Saccharomyces cerevisiae S288C: one gene and its partners. The gene in region 1 interacts genetically with each later gene. Each region holds a gene or a part of one and is shown in the gene's direction. Other genes may lie near its edges. The genes, in order: UCC1, RAM1, SNT1 and TPN1.

Region 1 (7,023 bases):
TATCACCTACAGACAGTAAGTCATTTTCATCTTTGCCCAAAATCTCATGAATTTCATCTAAACCAACACTTTTTGTTGAATTTTTCCTTGTATTGCTGTCCACGGCAAGATCAGAATTATGAGGTATTAATGACGCATCTTCAGGTGCGTGAGAGGGAAGTTCATTCATAGGGGTATTTTCATTGGTTGTAAAATCGGTACCGGTATTTATGTCGCTATGGCTGTTATTGTTACCGATGATCTCATGGCCATTGATTCCCAATTGTAAATTCATAGTTTCTTGCTCCTTTATTGCCTTTTGTCTTTGCTTTCTTATTTTAAGAAGCTTCTTTTTTTTCTTTAACTGCCTTTTTTTTTCAGTTTTTTTCCGTTGTAGCTCTTTCATCTTATCAATCTTCTTTCTTGTTCTTTCATTACCAATATAGCCAATGGGAACTTTTCTGTTAGAATTTGCTGGTATCATGTACTCATCTTCTTCATAGGCATTAATACCCTTATTTCTAAATGCAGATAATGGAACCTTAGGAACTTCATACCAATCTGCAGCATGGCCATTTGTGCTTTTGCTATTAATTGCATCATTGTAATTGTTCTCCATATCGTCTGTGTGGGATGGTGAATCATCCTCCAATTCACTCATGTTTAGCAGCTCATTGAGTGTCAATTCGTCACCGTTATTGCCATTAGAGCTTCCCTCTCTTTTAACATCTGGGGTTTGAGCCCTTTGATGTTGCTCGCGAAGCTGTTGATGTTCTTGGATTAAGGCGTATAATGATTTAGTAGACAGACCATCAATAATACTAAAAGGTTTGTTGTCCGTCTCCCAAGTACCCAATTTTGGTGGACGTAATCCAACAACATTTGAACTTACGATTTCCTTTGCTTTTGAGCCAATGTTTTTTGACCTTGAACTTGGGGGCGGTAGGTTATCATCTTCATCTGTGGATTCGTCATCAACGTACACAACAGTCTCTAAGAGATCATGTTTGCAATCTTTGGATCCATCAGAATTTTCTTTGTCTGAGTTAGAACTTATCAAAGAGGAAGATCCATCGCTGTCGTAATGAAAGTAAAAAGAGTCTGGATCTAAATCATCGATGTCTATGAACACATTTGTCACGCTGGAATCATCGTCGTCGTCTTCGTAATCGTCGTCCAGTTCTGTGCCAATGTCTAAGCTATCTGAATCTAGTGCCCTCAATTCTTCATCCGTGTCAGCATCGTGGGACGTTTCAGATTCACTGCATTCATCATCTGAAGGCATATGGGCAACATCCAACAAAATGTTATCATATTCATCGTCAGAAGAATCATATTTCCCGGAATTCAGGACCGTACTATGAGTGGATGGTTCCAGATCATCATTGGATTTTATCAAATTCGAGCCTTTATTCTTATGTTCAATATGACTTTTGCCCGATTTATGCCTGCCTTTCTTGCTCTTATGGCCACTATTTTCATCATCTGATTGAAAAAAAACATTGAAAATATACTCATCATTGTCCACATTGGAGGTTGTTCTCGTACTAGGTTTTTGCGTCTTTTTATAGAGCTTTCGTCTTTGTTTCCTTTCTTCCTGTTCCCGTTTTTTGGCCTCTTTCTTTTTTAGTTTAGATAGTTTTTCATCATTTAGCATTAACGGTAAAGATGTACTCAAGGATAGCTTTGGCTCTGAACCATCGCCATAATAATAAAGATTTGCAAATTTAGGATCTTCATAAAACGGCATATCAAAATCAGACATTATTTCATCTTCTTCGTCATCTTCTTCATCATATCCGTTTTCTTGATTGTATTCATTTTGCAAAAATTTATTTTCAGCATCTTCTACAGGATCAGACCCTTCTTCGTGTATACTACCATCGAATGAGAGTTCGTCGTCATTTTGTAGCTCAGAAACAATGTTTTGTTCTTCTTCTTCCAATATGGGAAGATCGTCTTCCCCCGTTTCAAGATCTGTACCAATTTCTCCATGAGAATCTTCATTGTTAATCACGTCAAAGTACGCATCCTGGTCAATATCATATTCAGATTCATCTGACTCTGAAATATTGGGAAATCGTAACTCATCGTTGTTACCTAACATCACCTTAGAATCCAGTTTATCTTCTTCATTACCATTGTTCTCTTTGTTTTTTAAATCCAAGACTTCTTCACCTATATCCTCGTTATAGCCTTCATTACCATTACCAAAACTAATGCCGTCGTCCTCTTTTTTGAATTTAAACGATAGCGCCTGTTGTGTAGTAGTAGTGCCTGAACCGTTTACTTCTTTTTTGTTTGATTCTTGTTGTTTTTGTTGCTCTTCTTTCTCTTTTTCTTTTTCTTCTTTCTGCTCTTCTTCATTTTCTTTCTTAGGGGATAGTTTAACTGATTTATTTTTGTTACTGTTCTCACGAGAGGAATAGAGTGTATTGCTATTTGTATTCATGGCAGATAAAGCTTTCATGGCTCTTTTCTTTCTTTGGGCCGTCAGTTTGACAAAATCTATATTCTCGTCATCAGAACTTGTTTCGCTATCACTATCACTATCACTTCCGTCATCATCATCGTCGTCGTCGTCTTCGTCATCATCTTCTTCTTCTTCTTCACTCTCTTCTTCTTCATTTTCACTCTCTTCGCCATCTGTTACAGCTTGGTAATCGGATGACTCTGTGCCCTCGTCGTCATTGTCTATTTGCCTTTGTATAAGTTTACTTTTTTTTCCTTGGGAATTATTTGAAATGTTCTTTGCTTTTCTTTTAATTTTATGTGGGTTTGTACTTTTGTTTTTATCAGAATCAGATACGTCACTCAAGGATGACTCAGAAGAGTATATAAGGCTAAATCTTCTTGGCCTCGTTGTACTCAGTGTGGGTGGTGATTGCCTGGACTTTGTATCGGATTCGCCCTTTTTTATGAGCCTTTTAATATTTGCTGGCAGTTTACCAGAATGTGTACTATGATTGATCGTACTTTTTCGAGGACTTTTTTTGCCTGCCATTTCGTTCTGTTTCCAGTTTGCCGGTTGTTTTTTCCTTATTTGTTTATTTGCTTCCTTGTTGAATTTCCTTCAATTTCAACAAGCTTGAAAATGAATTTCGTAGAATGAATATTACTATGTTTGAAATGGTTATTGCTTATGATGCTCACCGAAGTTAAAAAAAATATTATAGGTTTGTCCTATGTTAGAATTGTGGAAAGGGAGGAATGTAATAAATAAGCAGTAATTAAATATAGCCTTTTGAAGAGTTCCTCCTTTTAATTTCTTGTAGCAAGTGTTTCGAATGTATTCAAATATTACCAATGATTATACAAATACTTACAGCAAGTCAATTAAAGAGCCGTAAAAGCTAAACGTCAAAACGTGTAAAGCACCTATTATCTAGTCTCTTTTCCCTAGTTGTACTTTAAATCAATTTAGTGATGAGATGAAAAAAAAAAAAAAAAAAAAAAGAATTCCAACGAAAAAGAAACGACGGGCAGGGCAACCTTTAGAGATTTCAATCCGTATAAAGAGATGTAGTAGGCAGTACGGGTAACATCGTCACAATTCATAATGGAACTATCTAGCTTTTGCTTGATTGCAAAGTTCTACACCCGTTGATACTTCAAACATCTTTGCAATACGTAGGTAGGGGTCGCGTACTAGCAGCCTCCTAGTTAAGTGTATCTTTCAATCGCATTACGGAACAACTAGGCATCCCGAACCCCACACGGAAAAATCGGAACAATAACTGAAAATTTCCTTTTTCTTTTTTTTGCTCTTCAAAGTCTCTGCCCCTCTATTGCGTACTCGATTGATTTTTTTATCAAAGGCCATCTCAGACAAGTAGATCTACATTGGAGTTTCTCATAATATTATCACTATCGGAAGGTAGCATAACCTTTAATAGAGTTTCCGCTGTTTGCTTGGCTCGTTTTTTTGTTTGTACTATGCCTATTGGCGCAAAGAAGACAGAGTGTGCAAACAAGAGATGAATCAGAGCGATAGCAGCTTGATGGATTTACCACTGGAGATACATTTATCATTACTAGAGTACGTGCCTAATGAACTTCGTGCTGTCAATAAATACTTCTACGTTTTGCATAACCACAGCTATAAGGAGAAGAGTTTGGCGTGGATAGCTGAGGACAACTATATATGGGCCGTTGTCAAACATTCATTATGTTTATATGTCAAGAGTTTGGACCCACTTCGACAGCATGCCAGAGAAATCATTCAAGAAACGAAGGAACCAGGTTTTAATGTGCCACTGTGCATGACTAAATACATCGCAGATTCTTGGTATATTGTATACAATGCGCTGCAATATCCTGGAAAGATAATTAATATGGGATGGGACAAATATACCAAAAGTCAAGATTCAAATGGTTCTGATTCTACCAGTAACTTTAATAGTCGGCCCAAGGAAAGAACTCTTATGCAGTCGTTGACAGCTTTACCTGTTAACTTTTGGTCCAGGAGGAAGGACGAGCCTACACCGGTAAACGTTTGGTTTTATGTAAAAAATGCGCACGTTGCCAGATACATACCGAAAATTATTACGGAAATAGGCATATGCAACTATGGGCCGAAGCAGATCGTGGCAAGTGCAGGATATATCAACGAATTGATAACATCTGAAGGAATATACTGTGTTAACCTAGGCCACCTTCCCAGGCTATACGATGAGCAAATTTTTGAAGGCACTGGAACGACACATCTTCCCCTGGAACTGAAAGCTATCGACAGGACAGATTCAGATGTTTGTATCAATGGTGATTTAGTTCTACTCGGTTATGACTTTATTCCATATCAGATATCGAAGCCGTGGTTACTCTTTAGAATCGAACCCGTAAATAGCATTGAAGCAATCTTCAACTATAGTGAATGTTCTTTTTCATACCAGTTTGCATGGAGTTTGGCCTGCTTACAATCTGAAGAGAAAATTTCATTTCCTAGAGACACGATAATTGGGCACGGTTTACCTTACAAGCCATCCAAATTGATAAGAATTTTCGTCTACAAGCATCCGGAACAAAAGCAAGATCTTGGTCAAGAAATAGCATTGCCCAACTGGAATACCCCTTATCTTCGAAGATGAAAAAAAAATTTATCAATTAGTCTATAATATATGTGTATATACGTCTATGCACCTACCTACTTATAAATGGATATAATATTCTTGCAATGATGAAAATATGTATAGTCAAATTTCATTTTTTTCAATTGATAAATGTACTTTCAATGATGGAAACTCCTTCATCGTCATCGAATTTAGACTTCTGGCAGAATTGGTAAATGAATGGCTTCATGTTTGCCAGATTTTCAGCAATAGACCTAATGAAAGCGGGCAGCTCACTCATTATATCGTACCTATTGACTAATCTTAAATTAGATTCTTCAAAACCACGCGGAAATGAAATGGATGTAGGATATTTCCAACCATTTTGCTTATCCTCTTTTGTAGATGGAAATTTAACAGCATGATCATTTACACTTGACCCGACCTCCAAAATTTTGTCCTTATCACTAACCGCCCATATAGTCACTGTAGTGCTGCCATATTCTTTTGTTGTGGTGAATTCAATACACATCATCGAACGCTTCTCACCATTGAAACAAAGAAAATTCCATTTACTAGCCGCCTTATTGGGTATTAGCCCCTGGACAGCATCCAGATACAACATAGGCGTGTCCTTCAAGTCCAGCTTCACAGGTTTATCGTTTTTCTTGTATGAGATGGTACCATTGCAAAAACCTCTAGGAACAAAAACATGTCTTATCATTTTTCTGGACGTACTAGAAGAGTCTCTTTTTGCTAACTCTTCCAAGCTGATGCTCTTGTCAAGGTAATAATTGGAACCGTCCGGGTTTATTATGAATCCTTCTTGTAAATTTACGGTAATGTCAACCTTCAAATCTTTTAGTAAACAGCTTGTACTTCCCTTCGGAATATCTATCTTAATTAATAATTGAGCAAATCCACTGGAGGAAGAATTTTCCAAAGGTACGAAGTGAAACGTAACATTGTCCGATTCAACTTTTAACGTATCAAAATCTTTGATATTATCAATTTTAAAGCTTTCCCATATATCAATGTCTTCTTCAGAGTTTTCCTCACTGCTGGCTTTAAATATTTTGAAATTTAACTGAAAACCTTTGTATATACCGCCCATAACACTGGAATATAATAGTTGAATTAATCCACATTTGCCGTTGGTGAGATCCGTAAAATACAGAGTTTGTGTCTCTATTCTTGTTTCCGTTGGATTTCTTACTGCTTTTAATAAACTATGTGACTTGAACTTTTTGTGATTTGACGTCCTGCAAAACCATTCTAGTTTCGATGTATCCTGAAATTTAGTATAATTAGCATGATCCTTCTCGGATAAAACTTCCTTAACGGGGGCAAATTTCGTCTTCTCCTTTTTGATCGCAACCGCCATTTTTTCTTTGCTCTATGATTTTTATGTTAATTAAACTGTTCGTTGCCCTAAAATTTTGAAAATTTCTCGAATATTTAGAGAGAATCCGTCACTATTTTAGTATCTATCTTGTCTATTTATATATAAAATCTCATTCCCCTGTTATGGTTTTTGCCAAGCCCTATCCCAAAAAACCAAATGATACATGATAAACCTATTTATCCTCTTTAACAGACCTATCGTTTAAAGCTTTTTTATTGCAAACCCTATTCATTATGGCTTTTTGACCTAGGTCTCATTGTGACTTCTATTTTTCACTGTTCAGTAAAAAAAGAAAAGTGATTAAAAAGTATCACTATTTCTGTTAGAAAGCAAGTAGCTATTTTGATTGGTAATTATATACACATATTGAAGGAGGCCGTAGTATTTTCGTTTAAAATATATTACAGTAAGATAATGTCTGCTACATCTTCAAGTGGTGACGTGAAAAAATTTCAAGCTGTACCAAAACCAACGAGCAATGCATCACCACCACCAGCATCGAGTGGGTTTAACGCAAGGACCCTATGGCCGGATTTGATAGAAACACCAGAAAACCAGTGGGTTTTTGAGTGCAAAGATATTATTGAAAAG
Region 2 (7,374 bases), on another chromosome or scaffold:
TCTCCTAGTGAGGTTTTTCCGATAAAATTTCTTCCTGATCTTCACAAAGCATCCAGCAAAGTAGGAAAAAAGCTGAAAACCCGACGAAGGGTACTTGTTGAAAGCCATTGAGGTATTGATGGTTGGTGGTAGTATGCTATCTGAAGATAGGCCACATGATTTAGGTAAAGGAGCTGGCCATCGCTAACTGACTAGTCGTATTCTTCCACATCATGGCAACTTCCTTAATGTATTACCCGAATAACCGCCGAAGCCTCAGGCATTAGAGAAGAAAGAAAAGAACAAAAAGTTATACTACAAAAGGCTCTACACTCCCAGCAGAAAGCTGCCAACTACCGTCAGAATGTCAACTATGTCAACGCCTGCCGCAGAACAACGCAAACTCGTCGAACAGCTGATGGGCAGGGACTTCAGTTTCCGCCACAACAGGTATTCGCATCAAAAAAGAGACCTCGGACTACACGATCCCAAGATCTGCAAGTCATACCTTGTTGGCGAGTGCCCCTACGACCTGTTTCAGGGCACCAAGCAGAGCCTGGGAAAATGCCCGCAGATGCATCTTACCAAGCATAAAATTCAGTACGAGAGAGAGGTCAAGCAGGGCAAAACGTTTCCCGAATTCGAAAGAGAATATCTGGCCATTCTATCTCGGTTTGTTAATGAGTGTAATGGCCAGATATCCGTAGCACTACAAAATCTAAAACACACCGCTGAGGAACGAATGAAGATTCAGCAGGTTACCGAAGAACTAGATGTCTTGGACGTGCGGATAGGCCTAATGGGACAAGAGATTGATTCTTTAATTCGTGCAGATGAAGTCAGTATGGGTATGCTACAGTCAGTCAAATTACAAGAACTGATTAGTAAAAGGAAAGAAGTTGCAAAACGTGTACGAAACATTACAGAAAACGTGGGCCAGAGCGCCCAGCAAAAGTTACAGGTTTGCGAGGTGTGTGGGGCATACCTATCGCGTTTAGATACAGACAGAAGGCTTGCTGACCACTTCTTGGGGAAGATTCATCTGGGATATGTCAAGATGAGAGAGGATTATGATCGGCTAATGAAGAATAACCGGACAACTAACGCCAGCAAGACAGCTACTACACTACCCGGAAGACGCTTTGTGTAGGGCCATACATAAAAAAATGATGCTAGAAAAATTTTGTTCGAAGGAGAGTACTTATGAAAGAAGAAAGGTTTGTGAATATCACACACATACCTCTGCATAGTTTATTTCCCGATAAGGTAGACATATCGTTTCCCTATCTATTTAAGTTTTTTATTCGCTCTCTTTTTTTTTTTTTCTCTGTAACCTGAAAACAAGGAACGGCAAATTAAAATGTTTGGAATACGTTCAGGCAATAATAACGGTGGATTTACTAACCTCACGTCGCAAGCACCACAGACAACCCAGATGTTTCAATCGCAATCACAGTTGCAGCCACAACCGCAACCGCAACCACAACAACAGCAGCAACACTTGCAATTCAATGGATCATCCGATGCAAGTTCTTTACGATTTGGAAACTCACTTTCCAATACTGTAAACGCCAATAACTATAGTAGTAATATCGGTAACAATAGCATCAACAACAACAACATTAAAAACGGCACAAATAACATAAGCCAACATGGCCAAGGGAATAATCCTAGCTGGGTGAATAATCCTAAAAAGAGATTCACTCCTCATACGGTGATAAGAAGGAAGACAACAAAGCAAAATTCTTCTTCTGACATCAACCAGAATGATGATTCATCTTCTATGAACGCTACTATGAGAAATTTCAGTAAGCAAAATCAAGATTCCAAGCATAATGAAAGAAATAAGTCTGCGGCAAATAATGACATCAATTCTCTGTTGTCAAATTTTAACGATATTCCACCCTCCGTTACTTTACAGGATTGGCAACGCGAGGATGAATTCGGTTCTATTCCATCATTAACAACTCAGTTTGTTACCGACAAATACACGGCGAAGAAAACAAATAGGTCAGCTTATGATTCCAAAAATACTCCAAATGTTTTTGATAAAGACTCTTATGTTAGAATAGCAAACATTGAACAGAACCATTTAGATAATAATTACAACACCGCCGAAACAAACAATAAAGTCCATGAAACATCTTCCAAGTCTTCTAGTTTGAGCGCAATTATCGTATTTGGCTATCCTGAATCAATTTCCAATGAATTGATTGAACACTTCTCCCATTTCGGTCATATTATGGAAGACTTTCAAGTATTGCGATTGGGTCGCGGGATTAACCCCAACACCTTCAGAATATTCCATAATCATGATACAGGCTGTGATGAAAACGATTCTACTGTTAATAAATCTATTACTTTAAAAGGCAGAAATAATGAGTCGAATAACAAAAAATATCCAATATTTACTGGTGAAAGTTGGGTCAAACTCACTTATAATTCTCCATCTTCTGCTTTGAGAGCACTGCAGGAAAATGGAACCATATTTCGCGGTTCTTTGATTGGTTGCATCCCATATTCAAAAAATGCGGTGGAGCAATTAGCTGGCTGCAAAATTGATAATGTCGACGACATTGGAGAATTCAACGTTTCTATGTATCAAAATTCCTCCACATCGTCGACATCTAATACACCATCCCCACCAAACGTAATAATAACTGATGGCACTCTTCTGAGGGAAGACGATAATACTCCTGCCGGTCATGCTGGTAATCCAACAAATATTTCAAGTCCAATAGTAGCAAATTCTCCGAATAAGCGGCTGGATGTAATAGATGGCAAATTGCCATTCATGCAAAATGCAGGACCGAATTCGAATATTCCTAATCTGTTGCGAAACCTAGAATCGAAAATGCGTCAGCAAGAAGCGAAATACAGAAATAATGAACCTGCTGGTTTTACGCACAAACTGAGTAATTGGTTATTTGGTTGGAATGACCTATAACAGAAATCGTCCAGCTAATTATTCATGAACATTTACAATACTTCATACATTTATTATTTTGATAACTTTTCAAACAGCATTGTTTTACTTTTGTTTATTGATTTTTACGTAACTGTATATACTTAGACATAATTAAGAAACGTTATCTTTTGTGATAGTTCTTCTTTTTCTTTGGAGAGCGAAGAATGGAATTAATATCATTCTTATTCAATACATTGAACTCTGAGCCTTCAAACCTTTTCTGTCGTGCGCTTAAAGGCGTTTTTCTCAATGGGCTCAGGGATTTCGATGGTCTATTTTGGTCTTGATTCGGCAGGTAAGCTCCGCCCTTCTCTAAATTTTCATTTGACGATGATTGAGCCAAATTGTTATCCAAAACTTTATCCCTATAATATGGGGACATTCTAGGAGAATAATGAAAACCAATGGGATGACTTTGATGGTCAGATACTTGAGAAATGCCTCCATAATCCTTTATTCTGGTTTCACGGGATCCTGGCACACTTTCTGTCATTTTCGGTAATGCCTCAAATTCCCTTTTTTCATAATTATAAACCTCTCTGATTTCTTCGCCACATAGGGAGTGAGTGGTGAATATTCTCGGTGTTTTAGATCTAGTACCCATTGCAGATGATAGAGTATCTATATTGCTGCATTGGTTAATTCGTGCCATTATATGCTTGTCCTCATATTCTTGCAAAGCTGCACTTGATAAAATCAAGTCGTCGTCCACGCTTCTTTGAAATCTCTTAGTTATGATATAATCCAGAATATATTGATGGAATACTATAGCAATTGCTGAAGTAAACGAAACATCAGAAAAGCTTAAAAAAACAATTGCCGTTGGTGAAAAAGACACAAAAAGATTAATCATGAAGTTAGTGGGGATCCATTTTCTTAACTGAAAAAATATCTCATCTTCATTTTGATTAACATGAGGACCGTCATCACGAGATCCTCTGAAAAAATGCTTCAACATAGACCACAAGGACTGCTTATAAATATCTTCATAGTATTCTTTGCTTAGATCCTTCAAGTTGTGTTTAGTGAGGTTTGGGGAGTTGAACTCTTTTTTCAAATGGAAGAGATTGTAAGTCTTAAAGTATCCAAACATGAATTTACAGCTTACGTACAGGTTCAGGGACAGCAGTATGAAAATAGTAAACCTGAAAAGATTATTCAAAAACCTTAAGGTAACAAAATACCAAGATTGAAATGCATAAAATTGATTATTGTTTTGAAAGCTGGATGATATCTCCCATAGATAATCAAACTCTTTTAATTTATTGGATTTAGAAAGATCGAAAGCGCCAGACTTGACGTTTAGTTTGTAATAGTTGGGCTTGATCAAATTGTCCTGCAAGAGTCTTATGATAAAAAAAAGTATTGTTAAAAAATTCCCTAATGGCTTAGCTAGACTTTTAGCATAAGCATCCCAGTTGATCATTTCTAACTTTTCATTTATTACCAACTGCAAGTCTAAAGGAGAAGTAAGTAGCTGATACCACCTCTTCATCCATGCAGATTTTGATTCTCTTTCCTCACCAACTACTTCCGAGTCGTCATATGCTTCATTTATCAAATCATTTGAACCCATTTTACTGCCGAAGGTAAATGTAAAGCTCTCTACTGCACAACAAAGTTTTTTAGGTTGTTCGTTTCACTAACTTCTAAATATTGTCAATCAAACCAGACTTTAAGGAAACTACCACTTGTCCCAACGGCCTCACCCCTTTTAATACGGTGTTAACTTCTTCCTTTATATATTGCAGGGCTATTTTTCCCTCCTTTCGCTATTGAAAGAGATCACTATTCCCGTGCTCTGTTCTGATTAAGTAGGAGGACAAAAACACTTGTAACTTAATCCACCTATTCTTATTATTTCTGGCTAACGTTAGAGGTCTTGAAGCGAAACTGTTTAACATTGTAACTTATTAATCTTTTCGTATAAGCTGTTGCCTGATTAGGAAAGCTTGAAACTGAAACACGCGAAAGTGGCTAGGATAAACCAAGCAAGGGTCCATATCATCGCCGTTCTTATGCAGAAACAACTGCAGTGCTTGTAAAGCTATAGGCAATCAAAGCGTATGCGACAGAGAGTAGGAAGGTCCATAGCTAGGGCTAAATTTATAAATACTGCCTTATTAGGAAGAAAGAGACCAGTTATGGAAAGAGTCGTCGATATAGCGCATGTAGATTCAAGTAAAGCAATCCAACCATTGATGAAGGAACTAGAAACCGACACTACAGAAGCACGATACAAAGTACTACAAAGTGTATTAGAGATATACGATGATGAAAAGAATATAGAACCTGCTCTCACGAAAGAGTTTCACAAAATGTACTTGGATGTCGCTTTTGAGATATCGTTACCTCCACAAATGACAGCACTAGATGCTTCACAACCGTGGATGCTATATTGGATTGCTAACTCATTGAAGGTAATGGACAGAGACTGGCTTTCAGATGACACCAAAAGAAAAATTGTAGATAAGCTCTTTACTATTAGTCCTTCAGGAGGACCCTTTGGTGGAGGTCCTGGCCAATTATCTCATTTGGCCAGCACTTATGCTGCAATTAATGCTCTCTCCCTTTGCGATAACATAGATGGATGCTGGGACAGAATTGATCGAAAAGGAATTTACCAATGGCTGATATCGTTGAAAGAGCCTAATGGAGGATTCAAGACCTGTTTAGAAGTCGGAGAAGTGGATACAAGAGGTATATACTGTGCCTTGAGCATAGCAACCTTATTAAATATTCTTACAGAAGAGCTTACAGAAGGTGTGTTAAACTATTTGAAAAATTGTCAAAATTATGAAGGTGGATTCGGCAGTTGTCCTCACGTAGATGAGGCACACGGAGGCTATACTTTCTGTGCTACAGCTAGTCTAGCAATTTTAAGGTCCATGGACCAAATAAATGTTGAAAAGCTTTTAGAATGGTCTAGTGCTCGTCAATTGCAAGAAGAACGAGGATTTTGCGGAAGGAGCAACAAACTTGTTGACGGTTGCTATAGTTTTTGGGTTGGAGGTTCGGCTGCCATTCTTGAAGCTTTTGGATATGGCCAATGCTTCAACAAACATGCTCTTCGGGACTACATATTGTACTGTTGCCAAGAAAAAGAGCAACCTGGTTTGAGAGATAAACCAGGGGCCCACTCAGACTTTTACCATACAAATTATTGCCTATTAGGACTGGCTGTTGCGGAAAGTTCATACAGTTGCACTCCTAATGATTCTCCACATAATATTAAGTGTACTCCAGACCGCCTAATTGGATCATCGAAACTTACTGATGTCAACCCTGTCTATGGTTTACCAATAGAAAATGTAAGAAAAATTATCCACTACTTTAAATCCAATTTATCTTCTCCAAGTTAACCACATACTATTATATATATGTATTCAATCTCCTTAGCGGTCAGTCTCTTTCCAATTTCTTTCTCTTTACGTTATCATTGTCCTTTATTCGACACTTCGGCGACCGCTTTTAAAACGATAATAACAAAGCGAAATCTTATTGTAACACATCCTTGCTTAATTACATACGAAGCAAAAAGTGAGAGTAAGTTCAAAAACAGCGGGCAATCGTACTCCCAAATTTTGTTGTACCTCATCAATCGGCTTGACTGCGATTTAAACATACCCTTTAAACATGGATATATTTAGGCATACTTTTGGAAATAATGATGATTCCTTTATTCGAATCCCAGGTGCTTTTAGAGAAGAACCACCTGCTGATTTGAATGGAAGGACAGAAGATCAAAACAGCAATACAAATGAACCCACACAGAGCCGGGATGGACGCTTAAAATCAATACTCCATTTTTTATTTCAAGCTCCCCTAATAGTTCTTTATTATTTATTGAATTTCATTGTCCGAAGTTCACGTCTTTTAAAACCTCTATTAAGACTTCACGGATTCTACCAGAGGAAGCACAACCGTTTACTAGACCACAGTTCCCAATTACACCGTCTTTTAGAAAATCTAGAAAACGAAGCTCAAGCTGTAACGTGTTCTGAAGGTAACGGGAATAATGATGATGGCAGCAATACTGACAGTACGAGCAACAATGAGAGCAGTGGGGTCCAGTTTAGTTTTGGTTCTTTATACAACCCTGAAAATGGAACATTTTCCAAAAGCATTATGCAAAATAGTTACACTGAATTATTGGATGCTTGTAGCGAACAAGTGAAATTTGGAGTCATTTATTTACATGACCCATTGTTGGATAATCATATGGATTACGTTAATAAAATATTGTGCTCAGAAGCCTTTGTTAACATGATAAGGAAGTACCAGGTATTACTATGGTATGGTGACGTTACTACATCCGAGGGGTTGCAAGTTTCCAATGCATTAAAAATTAGGCAATATCCCCTACTTGGAATAATTTCTTTAAAGGCTGAGAAAAAAATAGAGTTAATAGCAAGAGTTGAAGGTTC
Region 3 (9,874 bases), on another chromosome or scaffold:
CGAGATGTTTTCTGAGTCACTGATGGCGCATCAGGAAGTTTTATTTGCACATGGAGCATGTGATAATGAGACCGTTGGCTTATTGTTAATATTTTTTGCCAACAGATTACGTGATTGTGGATACAACAAAGCAGTCTTCAATTGTATGAAAGTGATCATTAAGAACAAGGAAAGGAAACTAAAGGAGGTGGCGTGTTTTTTTGACCCAGCGAATAAAAGTGAAGTACTCGAAGGTTTAAGTAATATCCTCTCATGCAATAACTCTGAAACAATGAACCTCATAACTGAACAATACCCATTTTTTTTCAACAATACACAACAGGTACGGTTCATAAACATTGTCACCAATATCTTGTTTAAGAACAACAATTTTTCTCCAATAAGCGTTAGACAGATCAAAAACCAAGTTTACGAATGGAAAAATGCAAGATCAGAATACGTCACCCAAAACAATAAAAAGTGCCTTATTTTATTTAGAAAAGACAACACATCCTTAGATTTTAAAATCAAAAAGTCCATATCAAGATACACTTACAACCTCAAAACGGATAGAGAAGAAAATGCAGTTTTCTATCGAAATAATTTAAATCTTTTGATTTTTCATCTGAAACATACACTGGAGATACAATCAAATCCAAATTCGTCCTGCAAGTGGTCATCGGACTTTGCAGAAGATTTTGATGGGATGAAACGGAGGCTTTTGCCTGCTTGGGAACCAAAATATGAACCACTCATTAACGAGGAAGATGCTAATCAAGATACTATAACAGGTGGTAACAGACAAAGGAGAGAAAGTGGAAGCATTTTATCCTACGAATTTATCGAACATATGGAGACTCTTGAGTCGGAGCCAGTTGGAGATTTGAATGAGAATAGAAAAATTCTTAGACTTTTGAAGGATAACGATTCCATTGCAACTATTTGGAATTGCAGTTTGATTATTGGATTAGAAATTAAGGAGGGGATTTTAATTCATGGCAGTAATTACCTTTACTTTGTAAGTGATTACTATTTTAGTTTAGAGGATAAAAAGATTCTAAAATTATCAGAAGTATCGCAAGAATCACGGGATATGACGGTTAGCTTAATTAACGGCCCTGATGTTAAAAGGGTATCAACTTTCCTAAAGCACGAAGTCTTTGTTTGGAAACTTCTCGATATCACTTTCGTTACCAAACGACCCTTTCTACTTCGGGATGTCGCCATCGAATTATTGTTCAAAGAGAGAGTTAGCGCTTTTTTTAGTTTTTACAACAAAAGAGTGAGAGATGACGTTTTACGGGTACTGAATAAGATCCCGAAGCACCTTCCAGCAGATCCAATTTTTTCAAGCGTTTTACAAGAAATAAACGACCGAGGAAATAGTATAGTGGCAAGAAATGGAATAGGAAAGGCAAGCATTGCTTCTAAATTCACTAGCGTCTTCTCAGCGAACAACAGCCTAATAGATGGATTTGAGATCAGCAAAAAATGGGTTAGGGGAGAGATTTCTAATTTTTATTACCTGTTGAGTATCAACATCCTAGCGGGAAGGTCATTCAACGATTTGACCCAATATCCAGTGTTTCCGTGGGTTATTGCAGATTACGAAAGTAACGTACTCGATTTAGAGAATCCTAAAACTTACCGGGACCTATCGAAACCTATGGGCGCTCAAAGTGAGAAAAGGAAATTACAGTTTATAGAGCGTTATGAAGCTTTGGCTTCCCTGGAAAATGCTGATTCCGCACCATTTCATTATGGCACGCATTATTCCTCAGCTATGATAGTATCTTCATATCTGATAAGGCTGAAGCCCTTTGTCGAATCCTTTTTGTTATTGCAAGGCGGAAGTTTTGGCCCTGCAGATCGTTTATTTAGTTCGCTTGAAAGGGCCTGGAGCTCTGCTTCTTCTGAAAATACAACGGATGTCAGGGAATTGACACCTGAATTTTTTTTTCTACCTGAATTTTTGATCAACGTTAATAGTTATGACTTTGGTACAGACCAAAGCGGTAAAAAAGTTGACGACGTCGTACTTCCACCCTGGGCAAATGGTGACCCAAAGGTTTTCATTCAAAAGAATAGAGAAGCTTTAGAAAGTCCTTATGTATCAGCACATTTACATGAATGGATTGATTTGATATTTGGTTACAAACAAAAGGGGGACATTGCTGTGAAATCTGTTAACGTATTCAACAGATTGAGTTACCCAGGCGCTGTAAATCTAGATAACATTGACGATGAAAATGAGCGCAGAGCTATCACAGGCATTATTCACAACTTTGGTCAAACGCCTTTACAAATATTTCAGGAACCTCATCCGGAAAAAATAGCCTGCAATGTTCAACAGCTAACAACAGAGGTATGGCGTAAGGTTCCAATGAAGCCAATATTTGAGAAGACAATCTTTAATTTGAATGAAAAGAACAGGTCCGTCGATTATGTTATACACGATCCTAGTTACTTCGATTCATTATACTGGAGGGGCTTCGCTTTCCCAAACTTGTTTTTCAGAACGGAAGAATCGTTAGTGTCATTGAGAATTGTGCATAAAAATTGGTTAAAAATTGGACTAGATATTTTTAAAAAGACGCATATGGCTCAGATTACATCGTTTGCGTACTGGAAGTTGGGCGAATTCATAACTGGCGATAAAAATGGGCTGATAAAAGTTTGGAAATATCGTAAAGATAAGCATTCGGTTTCAGGTAACCTTGAGAACAAAAAAACAATGTTTGGGCACCTATGCGAGCTAAAGGAGATGCGCTGTTATCACGACTACAATACGCTTTTAACCTTAGACATCAGCGGCTTAGTATATGTCTGGGACATGATTAATTTCGAACTAGTAAGGCAAATAACAAATGATGCGCAAAAGGTCGCAATATCTCAACATGCAGGGAGCATTATGGTATTGACTAAGAATAACGCCATTTCGATCTTCAATCTAAATGGACAAATATATACATCAAAGAAATTCGAACCAGCTAAAATTGTAAGCTCAATTGATTTTTTTGACTTCACTAAGTTAGACGCAGGTTACAGAAAGCATATCTATTGGAAAGAGATGGAAATACTACTAGTGGGCTTTGAAGATGGAACTATAGAAATTTACGAGCTCTTTTTGAATTTTCATAATGAATGGGCGATAAAGCTACTGAAGCAGCTCTGTACCGAAAAAGGGAAAGCCATAACTAGCATTAAGGGACAGGGGAAGACATACCTGTCCCAGAAAAGACGCAAGGATACAGCAGAGCCTCATGAGATAGAAGTGATTGCGGGAACATTAGATGGCAGATTAGCTATTTGGTACTAGGCATCACATCGTAACGCCTTTCTTTAAATGATTCAATTTTTGTAGTTTATATCTTTACTTTTGAAACTGATTTCTCATCCCATCTAGTATTGTAATTGCGTACGTATCCAATATCATTACCAACGCCGGGTATTTTTTTCTAGTATTTCTTCTCCATTTCGCCTATGGAAAACGGCAAAAGGGTAAAAGAAAAAAACAAACGATTAATTCTTCTTTGAATTATGTAAAAATCAAAACGCAACCGCAGATTTAATAGAGACCAGAAATTCGGATTACTATTGACTTTGTGCACCACCTTCAAATTTACTCATTGTTTAAGACAGGCAGTGGGAAAGAAGCCGTCATATTGCTCGAATCCTTAACAAGCAAAATATACAACCACTAAATTATTCCGAAAGGGCCTGCTTAATAATTTGCCTACTAACTTGTGCATAGAACAGCAAACAGAAACAAAGCGTAAGAAACATGGGGTATCCGCCACCTACACGAAGGCTTGGAGATAAGAAAAGGTACCATTATTCCAATAATCCTAACCGAAGGCATCCTTCCGCTGTTTATTCCAAGAATAGCTTTCCAAAATCAAGCAATAATGGATTTGTATCTTCTCCTACTGCCGATAATTCAACAAATCCGTCTGTAACTCCCAGTACTGCATCTGTACCTCTTCCTACAGCGGCACCTGGAAGCACGTTTGGTATCGAAGCACCCAGGCCATCTCGATATGATCCGAGCTCAGTCAGTAGGCCTTCGTCATCATCTTATTCGTCAACAAGAAAAATTGGAAGCCGTTATAACCCAGATGTGGAAAGATCCTCTTCAACCACTAGTTCAACTCCGGAAAGTATGAATACGAGCACCATAACACACACCAATACGGATATCGGAAACTCACGCTATTCTCGAAAAACCATGAGCAGATATAATCCTCAATCTACTAGTTCTACAAACGTTACCCACTTTCCCTCGGCATTATCAAACGCTCCACCGTTTTATGTTGCCAACGGGAGTTCTCGGAGACCTCGATCAATGGATGATTATAGTCCTGATGTAACGAACAAGCTCGAAACAAATAATGTTTCATCTGTTAATAATAACAGCCCTCATTCTTATTACTCTAGGAGCAACAAATGGAGATCCATTGGAACGCCTTCCAGACCACCATTTGATAATCATGTCGGCAATATGACGACCACCAGCAATACTAACTCGATCCATCAAAGGGAACCTTTTTGGAAAGCAAATAGTACTACTATTTTAAAATCAACTCATTCACAGTCATCGCCTTCCCTTCATACTAAAAAATTTCACGATGCGAATAAATTGGACAAACCAGAGGCTTCAGTTAAAGTTGAAACACCCAGTAAAGATGAGACAAAAGCCATATCGTACCATGATAACAATTTTCCACCAAGAAAATCAGTTTCTAAACCTAATGCACCTTTAGAACCCGATAATATCAAGGTTGGCGAAGAAGATGCATTGGGGAAAAAAGAAGTACATAAAAGTGGGCGTGAGATAGCAAAGGAACATCCTACTCCTGTAAAAATGAAAGAGCATGATGAACTAGAAGCTCGCGCTAAAAAAGTAAGTAAAATCAATATTGATGGAAAGCAGGACGAAATTTGGACGACGGCAAAAACAGTGGCCAGTGCAGTCGAAGTTTCCAAAGAAAGTCAAAAGGAACTAACACGCTCTGTTGAAAGGAAGGAAAGCCCAGAAATTAGAGATTATGAAAGAGCATACGATCCGAAAGCCCTGAAAACAGACGTAACAAAGTTGACAGTAGACAATGATAATAAAAGTTACGAAGAACCTCTTGAAAAAGTGGAGGGGTGTATTTTCCCATTACCAAAAGCAGAAACGAGATTATGGGAATTGAAAAACCAGAAAAGAAACAAAATAATAAGTGAACAAAAGTACTTACTGAAAAAGGCAATTAGGAATTTCTCAGAGTATCCTTTTTACGCACAGAACAAACTTATACATCAGCAGGCTACCGGACTTATCTTGACGAAAATTATATCAAAGATAAAAAAGGAAGAACATTTGAAAAAAATAAATTTAAAACATGATTATTTCGATCTCCAGAAGAAGTATGAAAAAGAATGCGAAATTTTGACTAAACTGAGTGAAAATTTAAGGAAGGAAGAAATCGAAAATAAACGTAAAGAGCACGAACTAATGGAGCAGAAAAGACGTGAAGAAGGTATCGAAACAGAAAAGGAAAAAAGCTTACGGCATCCATCCTCGTCTTCCTCATCTCGTCGCAGAAATAGGGCTGACTTCGTTGATGATGCGGAAATGGAAAATGTATTGCTACAAATCGACCCAAATTATAAACATTATCAGGCTGCTGCAACAATTCCTCCGCTAATTTTAGATCCAATCCGCAAACACTCTTACAAATTCTGTGATGTAAATAACTTGGTTACAGACAAAAAGCTTTGGGCGTCTAGAATATTGAAAGACGCCTCTGACAACTTTACTGACCATGAGCACTCTTTATTTTTGGAGGGTTATTTAATTCATCCTAAAAAATTTGGTAAAATTTCTCACTACATGGGCGGCTTAAGAAGTCCTGAAGAGTGTGTCCTACATTATTATAGAACAAAGAAAACTGTGAATTATAAACAACTTCTTATCGATAAGAACAAGAAAAGAAAAATGTCAGCCGCTGCCAAGCGCCGCAAGAGGAAGGAAAGAAGTAATGACGAGGAAGTCGAAGTTGATGAGAGTAAAGAAGAGTCAACGAACACGATAGAGAAGGAAGAAAAAAGTGAGAACAATGCCGAGGAAAATGTTCAGCCGGTTCTAGTTCAAGGTTCTGAAGTGAAAGGTGATCCATTAGGTACACCGGAAAAAGTTGAAAATATGATTGAACAGAGAGGCGAAGAGTTTGCAGGTGAATTGGAAAATGCTGAGAGGGTAAACGACTTAAAAAGGGCGCATGATGAAGTTGGAGAAGAGAGCAATAAGTCCAGTGTAATAGAAACCAACAATGGGGTACAAATAATGGATCCAAAAGGAGCTGTTCAGAATGGTTATTATCCAGAGGAGACCAAAGAACTTGACTTCAGTTTAGAGAATGCGTTACAGAGAAAGAAACACAAATCTGCACCAGAGCATAAAACAAGTTATTGGAGTGTTCGTGAATCTCAACTCTTTCCAGAATTGTTGAAGGAGTTTGGCTCTCAATGGTCTCTCATATCAGAAAAACTGGGTACCAAATCTACTACAATGGTAAGGAATTACTACCAAAGAAATGCAGCTCGCAATGGATGGAAATTACTGGTTGATGAAACCGACTTAAAGCGAGATGGGACTAGTTCAGAATCTGTACAACAATCTCAAATTTTGATACAACCAGAACGACCAAACATCAATGCCTATAGTAATATTCCTCCTCAACAAAGACCGGCTTTGGGTTATTTTGTTGGACAACCAACTCATGGGCATAATACATCTATTTCATCTATCGATGGCTCTATAAGACCATTTGGGCCTGATTTTCATCGTGATACCTTTTCTAAAATTAGTGCTCCTTTAACCACTTTACCACCACCAAGACTACCATCTATTCAGTTTCCTCGTTCAGAAATGGCAGAACCTACAGTGACAGATTTGCGTAACAGGCCCTTAGACCATATTGACACGTTGGCTGATGCAGCTTCGTCAGTAACAAATAATCAAAACTTCAGTAATGAAAGGAATGCAATTGACATTGGCCGTAAATCGACGACAATCAGCAATCTATTGAATAATTCGGATCGAAGCATGAAATCTTCTTTCCAAAGCGCTTCAAGACACGAAGCACAGCTCGAAGACACTCCCAGCATGAACAATATTGTAGTACAAGAAATAAAACCGAATATTACTACGCCAAGATCGAGTTCTATTTCTGCATTACTAAATCCTGTAAATGGGAATGGGCAATCAAACCCAGATGGAAGGCCGTTGCTGCCATTTCAGCATGCTATTTCTCAAGGCACTCCTACTTTCCCTTTACCGGCCCCTCGCACTAGTCCAATAAGTCGTGCGCCTCCAAAGTTCAATTTTTCGAATGATCCGTTGGCAGCTTTGGCTGCGGTTGCCTCCGCGCCAGATGCAATGAGCAGTTTTTTATCTAAAAAGGAAAATAATAATTGAACAAACGGCTGAGACGGGCAATACATATGCTCTACTTCTTTTCCATCCAATGGTTGGTGAAACTCTCGAGCATACATTACCTTACGTGTGTTAGTGTACTATATTATATATATATATATGTATATATATAAAGGGAGGAGTTTTTAATTATAATTGTAATTTCGTATTTTTTCTGCATTATACAGTTTTTTCCGATTTTAAACGACTTTATTTAAGTGTCGTGTAAATATGTCACATTTTATTTTTGTACGTATTCACATGTCCTGGCGTGCGGCCATTGCTGAAAATCGCAAAACCCACAGAGAAATAAACATCGCGAAAAAGTCAATGAAAAATTGGAAAATATTTTTCATTTCACTATTATCCACAAGCAATTTTGTACAAAGTGAAAAGGTTGAACTAATTATCTTCGTCTAGAAGCCATGAATTCACTCGTTACTCAATATGCTGCTCCGTTGTTCGAGCGTTATCCCCAACTTCATGACTATTTACCAACTTTGGAGCGACCATTTTTTAATATTTCGTTGTGGGAACATTTCGATGATGTCGTCACTCGTGTAACTAACGGTAGATTTGTTCCAAGCGAATTCCAATTCATTGCAGGTGAATTACCATTAAGCACTTTGCCCCCTGTGCTATACGCCATCACTGCCTATTACGTTATTATTTTTGGTGGCAGGTTTTTGTTAAGTAAGTCGAAACCATTTAAATTAAATGGCCTTTTCCAATTGCATAATTTGGTTTTAACTTCACTTTCATTGACGCTTTTATTGCTTATGGTTGAACAATTAGTGCCAATTATTGTTCAGCACGGGTTATACTTCGCTATCTGTAATATTGGTGCTTGGACTCAACCGCTCGTTACATTATATTACATGAATTACATTGTCAAGTTTATTGAATTTATAGACACCTTTTTCTTGGTGCTAAAACATAAAAAATTGACATTTTTGCATACTTATCACCATGGCGCTACTGCCTTATTATGTTACACCCAATTGATGGGCACCACATCTATTTCTTGGGTCCCTATTTCATTGAACCTTGGTGTTCACGTGGTTATGTATTGGTACTATTTCTTGGCTGCCAGAGGCATCAGGGTCTGGTGGAAGGAATGGGTTACCAGATTTCAAATTATCCAATTTGTTTTGGATATCGGTTTCATATATTTTGCTGTCTACCAAAAAGCAGTTCACTTGTATTTCCCAATTTTGCCACATTGTGGTGACTGTGTGGGTTCAACAACTGCCACCTTTGCAGGTTGTGCCATTATTTCTTCATATTTGGTACTATTTATTTCATTTTACATTAACGTTTATAAACGTAAAGGCACCAAAACCAGTAGAGTGGTAAAGCGTGCCCACGGCGGTGTTGCCGCAAAGGTTAATGAGTATGTTAACGTTGACTTGAAAAACGTTCCTACTCCATCTCCATCACCAAAACCTCAACACAGAAGAAAAAGGTAAGTGTAAAATCTTTGAAAGAATTTAAGTATTCAACTTTCGTATATTCGTTTTTTCTTAGTGGATCTATTGTTACTATTATCACTATTATTATATTGTAAAAGACCGGATGGTTTTGTTATATATTACATACACATGTTATCGTTGAAAAAAGTTTTCCGTTTCCTTTCGACAGTCATCAGATAATTTTATCCGAGTCTTTTATATGTTAAATCTTGTTGACAAATCGTCCGCTCTAACCCTAGATAACAACAATGATCTTTTTATCATTTCTGGCGTTATTTTAGCGCCTCCTCCCACTAATGTTAATTGCTTATAGTTACCTGAAGGAGCAGCGAGGATGGAGATCGTACTGTGTATACTTGTTTCTTCCGCTTCAGTATCTAGGTCTGCTATTAGCACAGTGTTCAATTTATCCATATCAATGTCCACTTCCTCTTCTTCAGAGTTATCAGAGTTTTGTAATTGGCATTCGGGGTCTAACTCCACTATCCCATAATTTGAAGCAAATGCAATATTCTTTGCGTTTATCATTAACGGTACTGACTTAGTTTGGTCGCAAATAATTTCATACGTTTCTCTTATGGTGGCACTTCTTCCTCTTGTTCTTATAGTCATTCTTAAATCGGACGCACGCTCATCTATAAATGCTCTAGGTAACTTTACGCTCTGTAAAGCGTACATCAAAGAATTCCAACACAAATCGAAGACTGGACCAGTGCGACTCAAGACTACAATTTTCGCATACAAAACGTATGACCATTTTCTTTTCATTTTCAGGTTTGTTTCATTCAGCGTATCATCTTCTAATTCATCGGGATACAAGACGGAAAACGTACCGTCTTCATTCGCACTACGAACACCAGCTTTTACCTTCAAGGCTTTTTTAGGCAATATCCTAGAGTGCAATATGGAATCGTGTAGTTTTTGTGATATAGTCATTTCTTCATCGGTGCAAGCGCCCACT
Region 4 (7,702 bases), on another chromosome or scaffold:
ATCAAAAGGAAAAGGGACATTTTTAGGATTCCAGAACCGAGCATTCCCCTTATTGCCTCCAAGACTCACTAATTCATCGATATCCTCTCTTGTCCATCTATCCATTGATAGTGATTTAACGTTAGAAAAGGCATCGTCGTCTCTGCTACCGAAAACTTTTCTATGAACAGAGGCACACCTACCACAAAGGAAAACCCCCAAATTAACTGAGCACCAAGTTGGGTAGAAATTACCACATTCACCGCATTTATTGGCATTCTCGGACGAATTAATCAACTCCTTTAATTCTCTGTCAACATGTTTTAAGCTATGGGAAGAACTCCTAAACCTCATTTTTGACTAAGTATAAATAAACTATAATCTGTGATTGACAGAACGCTGCCTCCATCTATATTAATGATTGATCAAGAGAAAATGTTCTTCTTCCACCCTTTTGTGAAGCATTTAGAGATCAACACTAACTTTCTTCAACTTACAATAATTTCCGGGTGCCCCCATTTATCGATTACCCGGATCCGCTTTGCATCATAGTGTGTCGTTGTCGAAACAAAAGCGCCGTATTATTTGGTCAACGTTTAATAAAGTAAAAGCAGCATTTGAGATGCTCTATACAACCTTCTTAATTGCAACCGACATAAAGGTATGTTTTTCTCTTCTTATTATGACAAGGGAAACTTGAAGAAGAATTCGTGTCTTGCCATAATTTCAGCATCATCGTCTCAACCTAAGCCTCTTCTCACGAAGGCACGCTCAAATATCTTTCTGGCTCTAAAAATCTTGAATAACGAACCGAATTTACCATCTTTCCTGCTTTTTTATGCGTCGAAAAAAAGTAAAATAACCGCCCAGATCACGAAATTGCATATAAAAGGCGATCTCCCGTCCCACCGTTATTCTTTGCGATATAGACTAAACGGCGGAAACTTTATGTGTAGTATCATAAACATTCAACAATGGTATGTCTAATAAAACCATCATGGTACACAGGACTGAACACTAACTTATAGACGGGTGCGTGCTACCCTCTTCTTATTATTAGGGGCCAAAGAGACAGACAGTATCACTCCAAGAGAAAAAGAACCGGATTCTGAACTTTTTTCAAGAGACGTACACATTCTACAACATCAAGGAATTAGAGAAAAGCATACCTAAAAAATGCGGAATCTCACCCATGATCGTTAAAGATTTAGTGCAACAAATGATTGATGAAGACGGCGTCATTTCGGTGGAAAAATGTGGTAATATTAACATCTACTGGTGCTTTAAAAATCAGACACTGCAAAAATTGTATGATTCAAGCGAGTTGATAAAAAAAAAGATACAGGAAGTAAAGTGTGATATTGCCACTTATAAACAAGAACTAGACAAAACGCTAGCAACTGGAAGGCGTAAAAAATTTACGGTAGGCCAAAAATCATACAATAGGGAGGCTCTACTGGAAAAGAGAAAAAAAATTCAGGATGAAATTAAGAAAAAGAGTAATAGTCTCCAAAAAATAGAAAGCATTAGATGGGATGCAGCAAAAATACAAGAGAATAAACAACAGATCCGCCTAAAAAAAGTGCATCTGGAGAAAACTACTGATAACATTGAGATTCTCATTGATTATTTATACAAGAAATTCTTTTTGAAGCCAGAACAGATAAGAAAAGAATTTGGAATTCCAGAAGAGTTCAAGGAATTTACGGAGGTTTAACCTTCATGCACTATACACGAAAGAACAAAAGTGTCTTGATTATTACATCTACATTTCCAGGCATAGAGCTTGCAGATTAGCCGCCCATAAATTTGCCACACTGTTTTCCGTGGCGCCACAGTCCGCGTTTGGTTATCCGGCTGACTCATTCTGACTCTTTTTTGGAAAGTGTGGCATGTGCTTCACACAATATAATTCCCGTGAGCACAGCATGCTTCGGGCCGAAGTCTGTTGGAGGCATATGCTCCTACCTTGGAAGACTCATCGCATCTCAAAAGTGTGTAAAGGGGCCTTCTGGCCATATATCCTCTGAGACCTGGTTGAAATGTGGCCAGAAGCAAAGCTGATAAAAACAACTGGCGCATACGTAGCTATATTTTAAATAAATAAATAAATAAATATATATATATATATATATATATATATACATATATATACAGTCATTGCCACACATCCCATAGCTCTGTGTGCTTACAGTTCATTAAAAACAAAAAATATCAAGCAAACAACAAAAGCATAGAAGCAAAAAGATGCCGATCAAGAGATTAGATACAGTTGTGGTAAATACCGGCTCTCAAAATGACCAACATTCAGCCTCCGTGCCACCGGTGTATTTGTCGACTACCTTCAAAGTGGACTTGAATAATGAAGATGCACAGAACTACGATTATTCCAGATCGGGAAACCCGACCAGAAGTGTCCTTCAACACCAGATTGGTAAGCTTTATCGTGTCCCACAGGAAAACGTATTAGCTGTGAGCAGTGGTATGACGGCGCTAGACGTCATCCTGCGTGGGCTCGTCTTACTTAACGGCACTGACAACCATACGCCAACAATAATAGCCGGCGATGATCTTTATGGAGGCACCCAAAGGCTGCTGAATTTTTTCAAGCAACAGAGTCATGCAGTCTCTGTTCATGTGGACACTTCCGATTTTGAAAAGTTCAAAACCGTTTTCCAGTCTTTAGATAAAGTTGATTGTGTTCTTCTAGAGTCTCCGACCAATCCGCTTTGCAAGGTTGTAGATATCCCTAGAATATTACGTTTTGTGAAATGCATATCTCCCGACACTACAGTTGTCGTTGATAATACTATGATGAGTGGACTCAATTGTAATCCTCTTCAACTGAATCCAGGCTGCGATGTCGTATACGAATCTGCTACCAAGTACTTGAATGGTCATCACGATTTGATGGGGGGTGTTATTATCAGCAAAACACCAGAAATAGCCTCGAAGCTTTACTTTGTCATTAATTCTACAGGAGCTGGATTATCCCCAATGGATTCTTGGCTACTTGTGAGGGGCCTAAAAACTCTAGGAGTTAGATTATATCAACAGCAGAGAAATGCTATGATATTGGCTCATTGGCTAGAAAATTCATGCGGATTCAAACCTACCAGAACAAACAAGGCTACGAAAACTAGATTTGTTGGATTACGCTCCAACCCGGATTTCAAGCTGCATAAATCGTTCAATAATGGCCCAGGTGCCGTGTTATCCTTCGAAACGGGGTCCTTCGAACATTCAAAGAGACTGGTCAGTTCCAAAAAACTGAGTATATGGGCTGTGACGGTATCTTTCGGGTGTGTAAATTCGCTTCTATCTATGCCTTGCAAAATGTCCCATGCTTCCATTGATCCCGAATTAAGGAAAGAGAGAGATTTTCCTGAAGATTTGGTTCGTCTTTGCTGCGGTATCGAAAATATAGTAGATTTGAAGAAAGATTTATTAGCGGCGATGGTTGACGCTGATATTATAGAAGTAAGAGAAAATGGCAAATATCTTTTCAACAAATTGAATAAGAACCTAGCTGTGAACACTACCATCGATGACCTGCATAAGCCTTTAAGTATTTACGAAGAATTTTACAATCAAGATCTCATCAGAAAGGACTCAGAATTGAATATTAAGAGTTCGAAATTGTAAGGGAAAATATGCATGTACCTTTTTTTTTTTTTTTTATAAGGTTCAAATCCAAAGATAGTAACTTTAAATAGTCAAGTATATAGACAGAATTTCAAGAACAGTAAGTATATTAAACTTTTACAGCCTTTCGGGCTGTTCCGTAAGCTCTTACTACTACCCTTGGGAAACGCACGCGCGAAGGAGGAAAGTTTGCCTCAATGAACGTGTGTAATGGCGGTCGTAAAAGGAATATAGAAATAGCTGTGCTTTTATAACTTCACTCGACAATGGGTTGACAGCAGATTTAGAAGGAAAAGAGCATACAAAAAATGTGCGATTCTCCTGCAACGACTGGAAAGCCTACTATTCTTTTCATCGCAGATCCGTGCGAAACATCAGCCACACTTAATTCCAAGGCATTCAAAGAGAAGTTCAGGATCTTGCGCTATCAGCTGGACACCAAAGAAGCATTTCTTAACTTTTTAGAAAGGCATGAACAAGACAAAATATGTGCCATTTATGCTGGGTTTCCGGCATTCAAAAAAATCGGTGGGATGACTCGAAGTATCATCGAACACAAGTCATTTCCAAGGAAAAATTTAAAATGTATCGTGCTTTGCTCAAGAGGTTACGACGGATGGGATCTGGATACATTACGCAAGCATGAAATTCGATTATACAACTACCAAGACGATGAAAATGAAAAATTGATAGACGATTTAAAGCTTCATCAAGTCGGTAATGATGTGGCAGATTGTGCCTTGTGGCACATTCTGGAGGGCTTTAGAAAGTTCTCCTATTACCAAAAACTTAGTAGAGAAACTGGAAATACATTAACTGCAAGGGCGAAAGCTGCAGAAAAGAGCGGATTTGCTTTTGGCCATGAACTGGGGAATATGTTTGCTGAATCACCAAGAGGAAAGAAATGCTTAATTCTTGGTTTAGGAAGTATTGGAAAGCAAGTAGCCTACAAGTTGCAATACGGGCTAGGAATGGAAATACATTATTGCAAAAGAAGCGAAGATTGCACAATGAGTCAAAACGAAAGCTGGAAATTTCATTTGCTAGATGAAACAATATATGCAAAACTATACCAGTTTCATGCAATCGTGGTCACATTGCCGGGAACTCCACAAACAGAACATTTAATCAACAGGAAATTTTTGGAACACTGCAATCCAGGCCTAATTTTAGTCAACTTGGGAAGAGGTAAAATTTTGGACTTGCGGGCTGTTTCTGACGCCTTGGTAACGGGACGAATCAACCATCTCGGTTTAGACGTCTTTAATAAAGAACCAGAAATAGATGAAAAAATCAGATCTTCTGATAGACTTACTTCAATTACTCCGCATTTGGGTAGTGCGACAAAGGATGTTTTTGAGCAAAGTTGTGAACTGGCATTGACAAGAATCTTACGGGTAGTGTCTGGGGAAGCCGCAAGCGATGAGCATTTCTCCCGTGTAGTTTGATAGTAAGAGACGTAAGAACCTTATGTTAACATACCTATATATACATATACGTCAACACACCAAGAAAAAAGAGCAGTGCGAGTTTTCGTATGCATTTGACTTCAAAAAGAAGTCAACATTAAGTGCCGTTTTTGTTTCGACAATGGATTGTAGTACAGTGCCCCGTAGGTGTATGACTCGTACTTGCGTGTAAGTAAATTTCGGATTTGTTCGCCGCACCTTATCTCACCTGAAATTTTCTGCGTCAGGCTGCTTTGATGGTGTCTAAGAGAAGGCCATTAAAAAAGAGAACAGATGTTGAGGTTCTCAGTATAAAAATATTACTGTTGAATATTATTAGCTTTATAGAGTATTTATCAAAGAACAGGACTTGAAAAACTTCGATCATAGATGAATAGGGACAACATGGACACAACAAAGCGCAAAGAAGATCATACAAAGCATACTACTGATGTAATAGAATTTTACGAAGAAGGAACCGCAGCTTCTTCTTTAAACATAGCCACAGAAAAGGCCAACTCAAGTCCGTCCATTTTGAGAAGAATTATCAACAGGGCGGCATGGCTTTCTAAGAAAGTGGACGCAATGGGAGTAGAGTCTACCGGTATTCAGAGGATATCTCCCTATGAACGAGGAACATCAAAGAAACAATTTTTGCATGTCGCGGGGCTATGGTTGAGTGCCACAGGTGGTTTGTCTTCCATGTCGTCGTTTTTATTAGGCCCTCTGCTTTTCGGTTTAAGCTTTAGAGAATCCGTAGCCTCCAGTTTAATATCGGTAACAATTGGTTGCTTAATTGCTGCCTATTGCTCGATCATGGGACCGCAGTCCGGTTGCAGACAGATGGTAACAGCTAGATACCTGTTCGGATGGTGGTTTGTTAAATTAGTTGCATTAGCTTCCATTATCGGTGTCATGGGTTGGTCTGTGGTTAATTCCGTGGTTGGGGGTGAAATGTTAGCTGCTATTTCTAATGATAAAGTACCCCTATGGGTAGGGATTGTCATAGTGACCGTATGCTCCTTTTTAGTTGCCATTTTCGGTATCAAACAAGTCATTAAAGTGGAAACTTACTTATCCGTACCCGTCCTGACAGCATTTTTACTACTGTACATTTCATCAAGTGATAAATACAGCTTCGTCAATGCATACGTTTCAAAGGGAAATTTGGACTCTTCCACCCGAAAGGGCAACTGGATGAGTTTTTTTTCATTATGCTATAGTATTACGGCTACTTGGGGGTCTATTACAGCAGACTATTATATATTGTTCCCAGAAGATACACCATATATTCAAATTTTTTGCCTAACGTTTTTTGGAACATTTTTGCCTACCTGTTTCGTCGGAATCTTAGGTCTCTTACTAGCTTCTGTTGCCATGTCGTATAAGCCTTGGTCAGTCGAGTACGATTCCCATGGAATGGGTGGTCTACTTTGGGCAGGTTTTCAGCGTTGGAACGGCTTCGGAAAGTTCTGCGTGGTAGTACTGGTATTCAGTTTGGTATCCAACAACATCATCAATACGTATTCGGCAGCATTCTCCATCCAACTTTCTAGTGTGTTTTGTGCAAAAATCCCTCGCTGGTTCTGGTCTATTGTTTGTACTATAATTTGTTTGGTATGCGCATTAATAGGTCGTAATCATTTTAGTACTATTTTGGGAAATTTCCTACCAATGATAGGCTACTGGATTAGCATGTACTTTATCTTATTATTCGAAGAGAATTTAGTATTCAGAAGGTTTTTCTTACATTTGTACACCAAAGAGTTTCCTACAGTTACAGGAGAAATAAATGGACCGGAACTTGTTGGATCTTCAAAAGAAGTGGAGAAAGATGCAGTTACTAATATCCATTTGTTAAAAAGAAAACATAAGGTGACTAAACATCGTTACAATTGGGACAAATGGGAAGATTATGAGGTTTTAACGCACGGTTATGCAGCAACATTTGCGTTTATTGTAGGAGTTGCTGGTGTGGTAGTTGGTATGGCGCAAGCCTATTGGATTGGCCCAATTGCTGCCAAATTTGGTGAATATGGTGGTGATGTCGCAATGTGGTTAAGTATGGCGTTCTCAGGTGTTGTATACCCTCCTTGTAGATACTTAGAGCTACGTAAATTTGGTCGTTAATTGAAATGACATAAGTATATATTAAAACTACGGTGCAGCGGCAAACTTTAGTTTAGATAATATTGGCAGGTAGATTCATGGTATGTTAAATTACGCTCAGGGAGGATATTTTTTTGTACACATTATCTTTTCACATGAAAATCTAAGCCTGGTGGACAATTGAAATCATCGAGTGATATACTGACACTTTGAACAGTAGCACAAATCGTTTAATTTGCTGTCACGATCTAAGTTTTCTGTCAGCTGACTGTCCACCAATAAGATCAGCGGATTCCAAAGGCGTCCTTCGAAAAAGCGATATCTCCCATCTTGGTTAGTAGCAAATAAAGGGAAGAGAAAATAAGACACACTCAAGGATAAAATACTTCGCTTCTTCCAAGTATAAACACAGGAAAGAAAGATATACGAAGATTAGAATTTTTTTCATACTTTTTACAAAACATTTTTTTGTACTTAGGCACGCTAATTGCGTAAAAATTAGCATAAACAGGAAATAAGAT

What was found.
Region 2: mutations in UCC1 (region 1) and RAM1 together harm fitness more than expected from each alone (negative genetic interaction), as found in Saccharomyces cerevisiae (one large-scale study listed by BioGRID).
Region 3: mutations in UCC1 (region 1) and SNT1 together harm fitness more than expected from each alone (negative genetic interaction), as found in Saccharomyces cerevisiae (3 studies listed by BioGRID).
Region 4: mutations in UCC1 (region 1) and TPN1 together harm fitness more than expected from each alone (negative genetic interaction), as found in Saccharomyces cerevisiae (one large-scale study listed by BioGRID).

What each region holds. Positions count from the first base shown.
Region 1 is NC_001144.5:582,508-589,530, forward strand, and holds UCC1 (Ucc1p), read left to right. Parts: upstream 1-3,956; coding exon 3,957-5,066; downstream 5,067-7,023. Other genes in the region: IFH1 (Ifh1p), read right to left, coding at 1-2,983; YLR225C (uncharacterized protein), read right to left, coding at 5,188-6,411; BUR2 (Bur2p), read left to right, coding at 6,847-7,023. UniProt on the Saccharomyces cerevisiae protein: Substrate recognition component of the SKP1-CUL1-F-box protein E3 ubiquitin-protein ligase complex SCF(UCC1) which mediates the ubiquitination and subsequent proteasomal degradation of target proteins.
Region 2 is NC_001136.10:293,969-301,342, reverse strand, and holds RAM1 (protein farnesyltransferase), read left to right. Parts: upstream 1-5,013; coding exon 5,014-6,309; downstream 6,310-7,374. Other genes in the region: LUC7 (Luc7p), read left to right, coding at 344-1,129; FG-nucleoporin ASM4, read left to right, coding at 1,340-2,926; NUR1 (Nur1p), read right to left, coding at 3,069-4,523; clathrin-mediated endocytosis regulator UBX3, read left to right, coding at 6,584-7,374. UniProt on the Saccharomyces cerevisiae protein: Catalyzes the transfer of a farnesyl moiety from farnesyl diphosphate to a cysteine at the fourth position from the C-terminus of several proteins having the C-terminal sequence Cys-aliphatic-aliphatic-X where X is Ser, Ala, Met, Cys, or Gln.
Region 3 is NC_001135.5:182,726-192,599, forward strand, and holds SNT1 (Snt1p), read left to right. Parts: upstream 1-3,763; coding exon 3,764-7,444; downstream 7,445-9,874. Other genes in the region: BPH1 (Bph1p), read left to right, coding at 1-3,298; fatty acid elongase ELO2, read left to right, coding at 7,867-8,910; exosome non-catalytic core subunit RRP43, read right to left, coding at 9,109-9,874. UniProt on the Saccharomyces cerevisiae protein: Part of the Set3C complex, which is required to repress early/middle sporulation genes during meiosis.
Region 4 is NC_001139.9:150,537-158,238, reverse strand, and holds TPN1 (Tpn1p), read left to right. Parts: upstream 1-5,462; coding exon 5,463-7,202; downstream 7,203-7,702. Other genes in the region: GTS1 (Gts1p), read right to left, coding at 1-333; MND1 (Mnd1p), read left to right, coding at 954-956, 1,040-1,696; cystathionine beta-lyase STR3, read left to right, coding at 2,227-3,624; YGL185C (putative hydroxyacid dehydrogenase), read left to right, coding at 3,933-5,072. UniProt on the Saccharomyces cerevisiae protein: Thiamine-regulated, high affinity import carrier of pyridoxine, pyridoxal and pyridoxamine.